Drosophila melanogaster: one gene and its partner. The protein of the gene in region 1 purifies or fractionates together with the protein of each later gene. This does not show direct contact. Each region holds a gene or a part of one and is shown on either strand. Other genes may lie near its edges.

Region 1 (7,883 bases):
TTGGACATTGCCAAACCGAACCACACCGTTTATTGCCTTTATAAATCAGTATTCTTTTAAAAAACCTCATTATTAAGAAGTGCAATGGATCTAACACACGCATCGCAATTTTTAAAAACAAAAAATAAATACATATTCCTTAATGTTGTCGAAATCAGTTGTAAAGTAAACTTCCACATACCTGTCATCTAGCTAGATTCGACAGCACTGCCGCATTAATCGAAACCGATAGGAGCTCTCATCAAGTAGCAACCCTATAGAGACGCCGGGACTTGGTGTAAAGAAAAAACGAAAAAGATTTGTCTTTTTAAGCGCCGCAAAGAATCCGGAAAAACGTGAATATACCACCGAAAACGGATCTCCGGTAAGTTGAAAATGACTGGGATTAGGTTGTGCGTACAATGGAATAACTGAAAATGCCCACAATGTGACCCGCAGGCTGAAACCCCTACGTGTAGCGCAGGAAAACGAGGAACACCACGAACCAAGATGTCGGACATCTCCAGCGAGGACCTGCGTCGTGAAATTCAGGCGGTTCTGAAGGACGCCGATTTGGCGACCATTTCGGCAAAGAGGGTGCGCGAGCAGGTGGAGGGAAAGCTGAACTGCTCGTTGCTGAGCCGCAAGAAGGAGTTCGACAAGATCGTGATGGAGGTGATCAACGAGCAGCAGGACGAGGAGGACGAAGACGATGACGAGGGCAAGGATCCCGATGCCGATCCCGACGATGAGAGCGAGCCCAGCGAGGAGGAGGACCCCAGCAGCAGCGAGGAGGAGGCCGCCAAGAAGAAGAAGCAGAGCCCCAAGAAGAGGCCACAGCCCACGAAGCACAAGGCGCCCAAGAAGAAGCGCAAGACCCTAAATGCCGACGATTCCGGCACCGAGAGCGATGCCGGCTCGGACTCGGACTACGAGGTGGTCAAGAAGCCGGCGGCCAAGAAGAAGGCCAAGGCGGCCGGGGGAACAGGATCGGGACGTAAGAGCACCGGCTTCACACGCGCATACAATCTATCACCGGAACTGAGCGCCCTCATGGGAGAGTCCTCCCTGCCGCGCCACGAAGTCGTGAAGAAGGTGTGGGCCATCATCAAGGAGCGCGATTTGTACGACCCCAAGAACAAGCAGTTCGCCATTTGCGACGACGAGCTGATGAAGGTGATGAAGATCCGCCGCTTCCGCACCTTTGGCATGCTGAAGCATCTCAAGCCGCACTTTCTCGATTAGATCAGATCCGCCCTCCGATCCTCTCCAGATGCAAATATATGTGTATGCCTCTCCGCCAGCCTGGTTTACCAATCCCCTGTAACTTTCGGCTCCGCCTGGATTTGTTTGTTCCACAACCTTTGATTAAGATTTAGTTGACGCATGTGTTTAGCATTACCCTAATTAGGACGGGTTTGCACATTATGCACTTTACGGCATTTTAGGAATAGTTCAGATGAACGGAAAATTACAAAAAAAAAATCGATTATAATACATAATGTGTATGATTTTTTTTATGACAAACTCGTGTAGTTTACATTTTATAAAATATCAAAGAAAAACATAACAAGTTTAAGGCAAGTACCGAGTAATAAAAAGAGAAATAGACGAGTGATGCATCTGAAAAATACGAAAGCAACTTTTCCTGGTTTTCATTTCGACGGGGCTGCTGGGGGAGAAATCAATCAGTGGAACAGATCTAATTGCTCAATAAAGAATCCCTTTTTTATTGTTTTGCGTTTCTCACAAATTTCTTACAAACATTTTTCACTTTTTCTAATATACATATTAGGTGTATATGCAGTGTATATATATATATAATTCTCGATCTGATATATATGCCAGCGTGTATATAATTGAATAAATGGAATACCTTGCACTGCTGTTCCATTAACGCTCTCGGGACGAAACGAAAGTACAAAAGTATAATCATAATCATAAGCGGGGGCCATAAACATTAACAAATTAAGTACGTAAACAATACGAGAGGTTAAATCGATCACTTATTGCCCAGCTGTCGTAGCTCAAAAAAGGGATTAGTCAGGAAAGTCGTTAACATTAAAATGTACATGGATTTCACGCGAAAAAGTTATAGAAATGTAATGCAAATATGCTAGAAACCATTATACAAGTCAATTCCCATTAAATATATTATCAATTCCGAATTAGAAGTATACATTTAGAGAACTAATCGCGTCTTTTGAGCTACTGCAGTCTGATTGACAGGCGTTCGAAGTATTTAAAATAAATTCAAGTAACTGGCTACAAAAAATGTTGATGGGGATAAATTCTTGGGGCAAGATTAGTTTTGGGGATTAGAGAGTCATGTTGGATAGGTGAACGGAGAGAATACTCCTGCGGCTAAAGCGAGTGCTAAATACTATGTCGAAGACTTTAAATGCTAACGAAAAGCAACCAAGAATTCCGCTCGAGCTAAACTAAGCAATACAATGGTAATAGTAACTTTGTGTTCTCCTTTCCGTATCCTTTTGTGTTTTCCGTGTGTGTGTGTGTCAACAATTGTTTTAAATAGTTTTACTTCTTCGCAAAGACAATACTTTCGTTGGCGTTGTTGTTTCTTCTAATTGCTGGTGTTATTGTCCGCATCCGCCCGCCTTGCGTCCTAGTAGCGGTAGTAGTTGGGCTTGAAAGGACCGGCCTTGTTCAGTCCCATGTACTTGGCCTGCTCGTCGCTCAGCTCCGTCAAATGGGCATCGAAGGTGGGCAGGTGCAGGCTGGCAACATACTCGTCCATCTTCTTGGGCAGCAAGTAGACATCCGACTTGTAGCGTCCGGGCGGGGCATTGAAAAGCTCGATCAGGGCCAGGGCCTGGGTGGCCGAGGTGATAGACACGGCGAACGAGGGGATGCTGGAGCAGCTCAGATTGACCAGCCTGCCCTCGGCCAGAAGAATGATGTACTTGCCCTCCGGCCAGATAATGTGATCCACCTGGGAGCGCACCTTCTCCCAGGTCAAGTCCGGTGTGCGCAGGCCATTCACATCGATTTCCGTGTTCGAGTGGCCCATGTTGCATACGATGCAGCCACTCTTCATCTTGTCCATGTGCTCGCGCACCACCACGTTCTTGTTGCCGGTCGCCGTCACCACAATGTCTACGTTGCGGATCACCTCGTTCAGCTTGACCACACGGAAGCCATCCATACTGGCCTGCAGGGCGCAAATGGGATCGATCTCTGTGATGTACACAATGCAGCCCTACGATTGGAGATTGAAAAGGTGACAAAGGTATATCATACTAATGGTTGTGGGTGCCATTTACCTGCCCCTTTAGAGCCTGAGCACATCCCTTGCCCACATCGCCGTAGCCACAGACCACGACCTGCTTGCCACCGAACATCACGTCCGTGGAGCGCTTGAGGCTGTCCAGGATGGATTCCTTGCAGCTGTAGAGGTTGTCAAATTTGGTCTTTGTCACCGAATCGTTGACATTCATCGCCGGCACTGTCAGCTTGCCGGCCTTAGAGAGCTGATAGAGACGGTGCACTCCGGTGACGCTCTCCTCGACGATTCCCTTGACCAACTTGAACATGGTCGGGTACTTTTTTAGCATCAAGTGCGTGGCATCGCCGCCATCGTCCAGGATCATGTTTGGCTGCCAGTTCTCGGCGTTAACGCAGCGATCTATGCACCACCAGAAGTCCTCTTCCGTCTCGCCGCGCCAGGCAAAGATCGGGATTCCGGATTCGGCCAAAGCAGCAGCCACTTCGTTCTAAAAATAATAAGCAACGATATTGAGTTGTTTTAATAATGACAGTCCTTGAAGGCTAATAAAATGATTGTCAAACAGGTAAAACCCTCGAGAGTTGGCCTGATAAATCGAGTCACCCTAATGCGGCGTAAACATTTGCTAATATCTGACTTATATCGAGCTGATAACGCATCGGGCTCCATTCTCGCTAAGCACGGCACTCGTAGCTTGGCTGATAAGTCCCAGCCGATACAGGTGAATCAGCGTGACAGGCTGTCGGGGGCCGTGGGCGATAAAAGCTGGCACGGATGGGTGCATAAATGATCGGGGAAGGGCGCTCGCCCTCGCACTCGCATCGCTTCATTAGAGAAGCCATAAATTGTTTAGCGTCAGCAGACTCGTGATAATTGCATCAGCCACGCCGCAGGAATAGGCAAACAGATCGAGTAACCGCAGCCGATCCAATGCTGGAACTAAAACTGCGTCCGTAACTTCCACTCCCAATGGTATGGCGACCCAATTCAGGGCACATCAATTACTCAGCGATTGCCAAACACTTGAGCCGCGGGCGCTTAATTGATTAACATGGCTTGATTGATCATTTGTTTGCGTCGCCTGGCGTGACAACAATTGTCTCCAAGCGACCGAGCAGATCAAGTGACCGAGCACGCATATGCATATGAATTTAAATAAATATAGGAAAATGAGTTAAGATATCTCTTAAGAGATTCCATTAAATGCATTAAGCAGCCTATGAATACGTAAGAACCCTATGACATTTTCATACGACATCTCACCTGCGTGGAGTAGATGTTGCAGGCGGCCCAGCGCACGCTGGCGCCCAGTTCCACCAGCGTCTCGATGAGCACGGCAGTCTGGGCGTTGATGTGTGTGCAACCCACGATCTTGGCATCCTTCAGAGGCTTGTCCTCGGCCGCCCGCTTCTTCAGCGCTATGATGCCCGGCATCTCCTGCTCCGCAATCTCGATCTCCCTGCGCCCAAATGCATGCTGGGCGCCTATGTTCCTTACACAGAAATCGGAGCTGCCTTTGGAGTTCTTTTGGACCTTCTCCCTGGGCGGCACGTCGTCGCCATCCTCGCTGCTGCCCGTGTAGCTGGCGGAGCTGAAGGAATCCGTTGAGGAGGCACTAAGCGAGCGGCTCCTGTACCGACTTGTCTTCTTCAGAGCCGAGGACTGCTTGGTGGCCGGCGGAGGAACCACCACGCTGGCATCCTGCGGCGCCGGTCCAGCCTGCTGCTGCTTGTCGCCGCCTCCGAATCCAGGATCAACTACCACAGTGTCTGCCAGGTTGTTCATGGTGGAAGTAGAGGGTAATCTGGGGATTTCCTTACTATCCCTTAAATTGGCTCCTTGCTCTAGCTCCTAGTGTTCCACCTTCTGCGACTCCAGAGCTTGCAATCCTTTTCCGCTGCTCCTTTGAATGGGCGCCTTGGATGTTATGTAAAGTCTGAAATCCAAGCAGGATGCGCTGCAAATGGCTAGTGGTGTGGCCTGGGTCTATACGAACTGCACAATCACGTGATTTATCGACGTTGTGGAGACCACAAATTGCTAAATTAATTGTTTTTAGTGCGAGTCTCCTTTGTTTCACCTCTCCACTATTGTTTTTGTTCTTCTTCTTCTTTTGCGAATGGGGGGCTACACTTTGGATCCGGGGCTTGATGGGAGTTTCCGGAGAGGGGATGATGATGCAGCCGTCGGCTTTCGGGCGACGTTGTTTGTGTGGCGACCAAGTGGGGGATCGTTTGGCGATCGCTTATTGAATTTGATTTTATCCGGAGAAAAGAGAACTAAACCGAACCGAGGACAGTAAGCGAGACACGCGAAAATACCAAAAGCAGAAGGCGTTAGTGCTATTCTGCAAGTGTGGTAAGTTCCCACTGAAGAAAGGCCAAAGTAACGACTTTTTAACTGAAATCGTCTAAAAATTAATTTTTATAATTTCTTACCATTAATTATGTGTTTATTTTTTAATGAGCAAAGTAAATAAAGTGTGATTTACAACTCCTCAGCTGCAAGTCTTTTAAATCTGGTAGCTGGATAATTTAATGAGTCAAAAAGAAATTGGCAAAGTATTCGAGGTTTATTAAAAACAAATAGTTAACACATTTGGCCTACATATCCTCCTGTAGGTAGCCGCACAGCTCGTAGTCGTCCGCCGTGTTGACCAAGTGCGCTTCCCTAAGAAGGCCCTCCTTGTAGGTCTGTCTCTTGACAATCAAACGCGACAATTCCTCCGGTGCAAGTGGTCCTTGCTTGGCGTGTTTCTGGATGAAGTCCGCCGCCAGTTGTCGATCCACGACGGACATCTCGAGGCTGCGACTCCAGGCGAGCAGGGCCAGCGGTCGCTGCGGACTCAGAGCCAGCGAGGGTGACACCAGATGGCGATACAGACAGCCACCCACGATGTCTTGCAGCTGCTTCACTTGGCCGGGAAAAGCGCAGGGATGGTAGAGCATTACGATGGCACCTTCCGCCAGATTACGCACGTATCGCTGAGGAGGCAAGTAGGAATAGGTGCCATATTCAGCGGGCATCGGGCGATAGGGGCCACTGATAATACAGATTTGAATTTGAAATTAGCAGGAAACTATAATATTGTTCGCCTTACTTGGTGGCAGGCAGATGGGAGTAGCTAATGGACTCATTAAGGCACTTGGCAGGCGGCAGATAGGCGCTAGGTAGAAAGTGCTCCGTAAGAATGGCTTCTCTGGACAAATCCGGTTGGTACAAGCTGTGATTACTACTGATGCATAGGAAATTCAGGCTGTCACGGATGTCGTTTGGATCGAAGTCCACGGCAAGATTGCTCTGAAAATTGTTAATAACAATGATAGAAAAAGATGACTAATACTAAGCATTCATCGGTATTTAGGGGAAGTATTAGTTATATTGCCAAACTCACCTTGCCATCATCACAGCTGCTTTGTTTAGTCTTGTGCGATTCATTGGGACCCTGCGGAAACAATTTACCCTGCCAAGTATCCTGTGTGGTGGACTTCCCCGACTTGGTTTTGTTATCGACCAGCGGTTTTTTCTTCACCAAGTGCGGCTCTCCGGGAGCTTGTGGAAACCACTTGCCCTGCCAGCCATCCTTGGTTGTGAACTCCAGCGGAGGAACTTCCTCCGTGGTGCTCTTCATTTTTAATTCAATCGCTTCCTGCTGTTGTCCAGGGGCATGGGGAAACCACTTGCCCTGCCAGCCATTCTTGCCGGGCGTCGCACCTAATGGAACCTGCACACGTTGCACATCATTGGAAATGTCGGGTGGGGACTTCCCAATCTTCCCTAGCTTCTCATCAGGATCAAGAGTTGGCTCCAACAGATTGGCCTGCGACTTCTTGATGGATTTCGCATCGATGAGGGCGAACCCAAGGCACAAGAGGGTCAAGTAATGCCAAATAAACATAATAATTGCAAGCAAAAGAAAAACAAAAGCGCAAAATAAGCAAACAAAAATATAATTAAGAACTTGGCAAAACAGCTGTGGAGCTGCGTTTTTCAACACTGGTCAAAGCATGACTTTGTTGCAGGGTAGCAACAGGTTGTTTGGAGTTTGCATAAATCTCCGATGATAATTATGTGTTGTTTTAATAACTAAATTAAAATTATTTACGCCAAATTAAAGTAAATAAAGTTAATTTAAAATGACTACTTAAATCAAGCAGATTTAAAAGGAAATCAATGTATATTTGAAATATTCAGACTGGATTCTAAGGTTAAATGACAAATTACTCACCAGAAATCGGCTCATAATAATAAATCATTTTATTTTCAAATGCCCCCTGCGAACGCTCCCCCGCATTGCACACACCAGGGGGTATTTTACGAAGTGCCCACACCTGGCCACACTGGTCGCAGCTACAAAAAGAAGAAGAACAAGGGCCAACTTGATGGTCACTTGCTACTGCGCTTTATTAATTCATTATTTTCCAAAATAATGCACATATATACCCGCCCACAGCCGCTCTGCGCCCCCGCTAATCGAAAAATGTGAGTGGTAAGCGTTTTTACCAGAGTCTTATCAACAATTTAAGCCTCAATTCCCTTCCGTTTCCGTGATTCGCCACCCAGAAAACAATAACAAAGGGGTGTTGTTGTTGCTGTCGCTGCTGCTGCGCTGGAAAAACAACTCGCATAAAATTTTAAAACGCACAAAGAAGGCGAA
Region 2 (4,943 bases), on another chromosome or scaffold:
ATATCGCGTGCTTCTGCCGCTGCTCTTTAATCCCTTCTCGGCCAACGCTCACTTTTACATTGTCTACAATGAGTGCCTGAGTCGCGAGGAAATGGGCAAATTGGTGAAGCTCTGCCAGATGGGCATACAGTTCCAGCGGAATGCGGACGACTACGGCAAAATGTTGAGCATTATACCGTGGATTCGGCACATTTGGCCCGAATGGAGTGGCTACAACAAGCTAAACGAGTCCAACCTATTCGTGCGGCAGTTCTTTGCCGACTTTGTGGATAAGTATTTGGACAGCTACGAAGAGGGTGTGGAGCGCAACTTCATGGATGTCTACATAGCTGAAATGCGCCGAGGTCCGGGCTACGGTTTCAATCGGGATCAATTGATCATGGGCCTGGTGGACTTCTCCTTTCCGGCCTTCACTGCCATCGGAGTGCAGCTATCGCTACTCGTCCAGTATCTCATGCTATATCCGGCAGTTCTGCGGCGGGTTCAGAACGAGATCGACGAGGTGGTGGGATGCGGACGATTGCCCAACCTGGAGGATCGCAAGAACTTGCCCTTCACGGAGGCCACCATTCGCGAAGGTCTGCGCATCGAGACGCTGGTTCCCTCGGATGTCCCGCACAAGGCGCTGGAGGACACCGAATTGCTGGGCTACCGGATACCCAAGGTTAGAAAAGTTTCCTATCTATTTAATTTTAAAAACCAAACTATTTTCCCCTATATACCCGTACAGGACACCATTGTCGTGCCCAGCCTGTATGCCTTCCACTCGGACGCCCGTATTTGGTCGGATCCGGAGCAGTTCCGGCCGGAGAGATTCCTGGACGCGGATGGCAAGCTCTGCCTGAAACTGGATGTCTCGCTGCCCTTTGGAGCGGGAAAACGGCTCTGTGCCGGCGAGACATTTGCGCGCAACATGCTCTTCCTGGTGACAGCGACCATGTGCCAGCACTTTGACTTCGTCCTGGGCCCCAATGATCGGTTGCCCGATCTCTCCCAGAACCTCAATGGACTGATTATTTCGCCACCAGATTTCTGGCTGCAACTACAGGATCGGCATTGAAAGTAGCCAAGATATTAGAGTTATCTATTTTTAAGACAAAGTAATTTTACTGATTACGTTAGCTAGTTTGCTTGGATATTTTTTGAGGAATTTTATTCCGTCACATTTCAAAAATATTCTAGAATTGCCCAATACTATTATGTGATGCACCACAACGAACTATTTATTTTAACATTGTCGTTTACTCATATCGTGTGGTATCAAAGTTCGCGAACGGAACTTGTTGAGAAGATGCGATTGGAATGAGATGGGTTTCTTAGAAATCCTCATTATCGCTGTATACAATGCAATCAGAATCTGAGCTGGTGGATGAAAAACTCAATGAGCGAACCAGCGAGACCATCGAAGAATGTATTGAGGGATTGGGGGACTGGATAGCATTGTACTCGGATTCTGAATCCGGATCGTATCCTTCCTCATCGTCCATTTCCTCTTGCGGGTTCACGAATGAGTTGTCCAAAGGATCCACCTCGTTGGCGGCTTCCATCGTTGCACCCTGAGTCTCATTGCGCAACTCGATCACTTCTTGGCGAATCTGGTTCTGCTCCTCCGCAATGGTGGCCACCAGTTGTTCGAGACTGCAGATCTTGGCCTCATATTCGGTCAGTTTCTTCTTCAGCTGACAGTTTTCGGCCCGACAGTTGGCCAATTCCAAGCAGGCGCACATGGCGATCTTGACGTCATCCGAGGTTGCGGACCTGGTACTGTATGCAAACCACATTGTTACCACAAGGAACACATACGCCGGATATCGAAAGCGATCTCTTGGCCGAAACTTACATGTTTAAGCCACTGGAGTTCTTATTATGAACCGGGCAATTGAGGGACATTTTGAGACTTGAAATTTATAGGCAGTTCAGTTTAGCAATTGTCTTACGACAAAATCAACTTTGACCTATTTGTACTCGGAAAGTTCACCCAGAAATATTTGACACTGTTTTACTGTTCTCTTCGATTCGAATGCAAATATGAGCTTCTGAAATACAGAAATTCAAGGTCCCTAGATTTTAATCTCCATTTTAAATGGGTCGCAAATCGAATATAAATCAAAAGATACAGTCAAATTACTGCAGATTGTTTTACTAGCCGAGCTGATAACAAAAATAAAATAGCAAACTGCAAGATAATGTGCAAACACTTTGACCAAAATGCCCTTATCAATATTAAGACAATTGAGTGGCAACAAAAAAAATAGAAAATAGAGTTGAAAACAAGGTGATAATTGTTTGGTTACGAAAACGACAACTTGTTCGCTATGAACCCAGTGTTTAAAATTCACTATCAAAACAAGTGAAGTTGACATACACATGAAAATATATCTTACTTAAAAGTAACTTTTATAAATAATAAAATAAATGTTAATATTATTTAAACTACTGGCACTTACGCCTTTTGGTGACTTCATCAGCATGCATTCACGACTCGAGCGGTTGGAGCTGCTTTTCCGGGGACACCTATTGACGCTCCTTGGCTTGCAGGCCGGAGTCGTGGGCTTTCGGGAACACTTGGGCACTATTTTCTTGCGGCCGCATCCCATATGTTTGAGTTTCTCCGATTGACGCCGATGACGCGAAGTGGAGCTTTTGCTGAGACACCGTTTCTGGTACTGCAGGGTATTAACGAAGGGCAGAAGATAAAGTTCGCCGGTCAGGGGGAAAGTGTGTAATCCCTAGGAACTTACTTTCGATCGATACTGATTCTTTTCTCGCGAACTCAATGCATTCCAGTACCCCGCTCCCTGACGCAGTGACTCCTCCATTTGGAGGTGCGGGGATTTAAGATGTATAGCCACCGCGTAACTTAAAAAGCCGTTTGGATACGGTGCCATCTCTACTTATACTTTTCAACTAACGTACTGAAATTTAGGATGCTAAACTAAGAATTACGTACAAAACATTCGAGCTTGAAAAATTGAAAGGTACAAATTTGAGTTGAGTTGCTGTTGCTAACTGATAGAAGTGAAATCTCAAAACTACTTGTTTAATAATAATTGCCAGTTTCTGGATTTGATACACAACTCTTCGTTGGCCTTAGTTTATTATGATGTATATATTACAATTTGGTTAAAAACTGTTCGCTTAGCCTAGCAACAAGCGGTTTAACTTCAAAACTTACAGATAATTTGTCATTACACTTAGCCGTATTAGATAAGCGAGAGTCGTTCCGTTCCGAGGACCCTTTCTCCAAATTTATATTGCTTCGACTCCTAAATATCAACTTACGAACTAATTGATTTATATTCACGTTGCGCATGGACCTGCATCCATGCCAGTAACTTGGCTAATACTGGCCACTCCCGCCGATCCCCAAATCACCCCGATCCCCCCAAGGTCCTTGGCCAACTCCTCCCTCGATTATCCTCGCCATTCCCCAAACACGCAGGTGAAAGGATTTAGGTTTTGGTTTGGTTCTAGTAGTAGGCCTGCTTTATGGCCGCACTGGTGATAAGGAAAGCGGAGCCAATCAGCATGAAGGTGATGATTTTGAGAGCACTTGGTCTACCGGAAGAATCTGCGAAAAGCGTGACATTCATAGATCATCCTTACTCAATTGGTTTTGCAAGGACACTTACTTTTCTTATTGGGCATCACGCGAATGCATTGATTCTGATTGGCGTTCGCCGAGTAGCCCAGCTTGCACTGGCACACGGAGTTGCGGCACTCGACATTCTCGGGATCCTTTTCTACATAGCACTCGGTGGCCTTGGTGCACGACTCTCCCAGCTCTGCAAGATTGCAACATATTAGAATTATTACAAATAATTAAAGAAAGCTTAGCGACTCAATTACCTCGCTTCGTCTCACAGACTCCGTTCTTAGCATGCTGCTCATCGTTGCATCCACACTTGCCCTCCGAATTGCAGCTCGCCAGGAGCGGCTTGCACTGCTCATCCTCGACGCACTCGTCCTCCAGCTCCTCGGCTATAATGAAATGTAATGTGGGGCAGGGCATAATTTTGCTGCTTTGCATTTCAGCTTCTGAGTACTAACCCTCTTTTAGGCACTCATCCTTAAAGTGCACGTATCCCTTTCGGCACTGGCAGGTGCGCGACTGATCCTCCTCGTCCTTCTCCTGGCATTCGGTGTTCTCAGGTATGCAGTCATCCTCCACCGAGCAGTCGGCACCGATGCCACGCATACACTGATCGTCCTTCTCAAAGTAGTTGTCCGCACAAACGCACACGCGATTGGAGCAGACGGAGTGATCCACAGGACAGCCATCGTTCGACTCACACTCGGCTCCCAGGCCACGTTTGTATTCGCAGAGCTGCTTGATGGCATCGTAGAGAGCGTACTCCTCGCAGGTGCACCTCCTCGGAATCTCCGGGTGGCAATAGGAGGCGCCAAATGGACTGCATTGGCTGTTCGAGGTGCAGGATAAGTGGTATTGAATGGCTGTTTTGATGGAAAAGGATATATCTTAAGTGCGATTCAGCAGCTAGCGTTGGAACCACCTACGTTTTCTGCAATTGCGCAGATCCCGCTCGTAGAAATAATTCTTTTGGCAATTGCAAGTTTTGGTCAACTGATCGAACTCGTACTCGCACTCATCCGTGCTCTCCGCAATTTCCCCCAGTTCTAAAGAATTTTCATTTCAGTTAATTTCATTAATAGAAGAATTAAATTGGGGGAAACCCAGTTTACTCACCGGCAAAACATTTTCCATTGCGGGCATAGTAACCCTGGCGACATAGGCAAATATTCTTGGAACAAATCGAGTGCGGCAGACCCGAGCATGTCTTTCCATTATCCGTGCAGCTGCTGCCATCTAAATGGGAAAAAAAATAGTTGAAATATATTTAAGATTGCCTAAGCATTGAGAGACTTCATTTTTTTGGGGGCATTCTTGGATACTCACACTTCTTCTCATCGGCATCGTCGTC

The links. The genes of interacting proteins can lie anywhere in the genome.
Region 2: the proteins of AhcyL1 (region 1) and grsm purify together in Drosophila melanogaster (affinity purification with mass spectrometry, with the first as the bait; one large-scale study listed by BioGRID). This does not show direct contact.

The regions. Positions count from the first base shown.
Region 1 is NT_037436.4:2,766,779-2,774,661, forward strand, and holds AhcyL1 (adenosylhomocysteinase like 1), read right to left. Parts: upstream 5,548-7,883; 5' UTR 5,012-5,547; coding exon 4,490-5,011; intron 3,714-4,489; coding exon 3,264-3,713; intron 3,200-3,263; coding exon 2,606-3,199; 3' UTR 1,688-2,605; downstream 1-1,687. Other genes in the region: Non2 (putative nucleolar protein 2), read left to right, coding at 490-1,224; CG12093 (uncharacterized protein), read right to left, coding at 5,830-6,268, 6,327-6,526, 6,621-7,124. UniProt on the Drosophila melanogaster protein: Might play a role in the regulation of methionine metabolism possibly by binding and inactivating Ahcy.
Region 2 is NT_033777.3:12,964,713-12,969,655, forward strand, and holds the start of grsm (granny smith), read right to left. Parts: upstream 3,001-4,943; 5' UTR 2,889-3,000; coding exon 2,742-2,888; intron 2,667-2,741; coding exon 2,448-2,666; intron 2,037-2,447; exon of another isoform or gene 1,891-2,036; coding exon of another isoform or gene 1,841-1,890; intron 1,765-1,840; coding exon of another isoform or gene 1,317-1,764; exon of another isoform or gene 1,226-1,316; intron 1,212-1,225; exon of another isoform or gene 1,061-1,211; coding exon of another isoform or gene 731-1,060; intron 665-730; coding exon of another isoform or gene 1-664. Other genes in the region: Cyp304a1 (cytochrome P450 304a1), read left to right, coding at 1-664, 731-1,060; CG14384 (uncharacterized protein), read right to left, coding at 1,317-1,764, 1,841-1,890; CG7381 (uncharacterized protein), read right to left, coding at 3,471-3,571, 3,633-3,785, 3,850-3,981, 4,051-4,455, 4,519-4,638, 4,709-4,828, 4,919-4,943.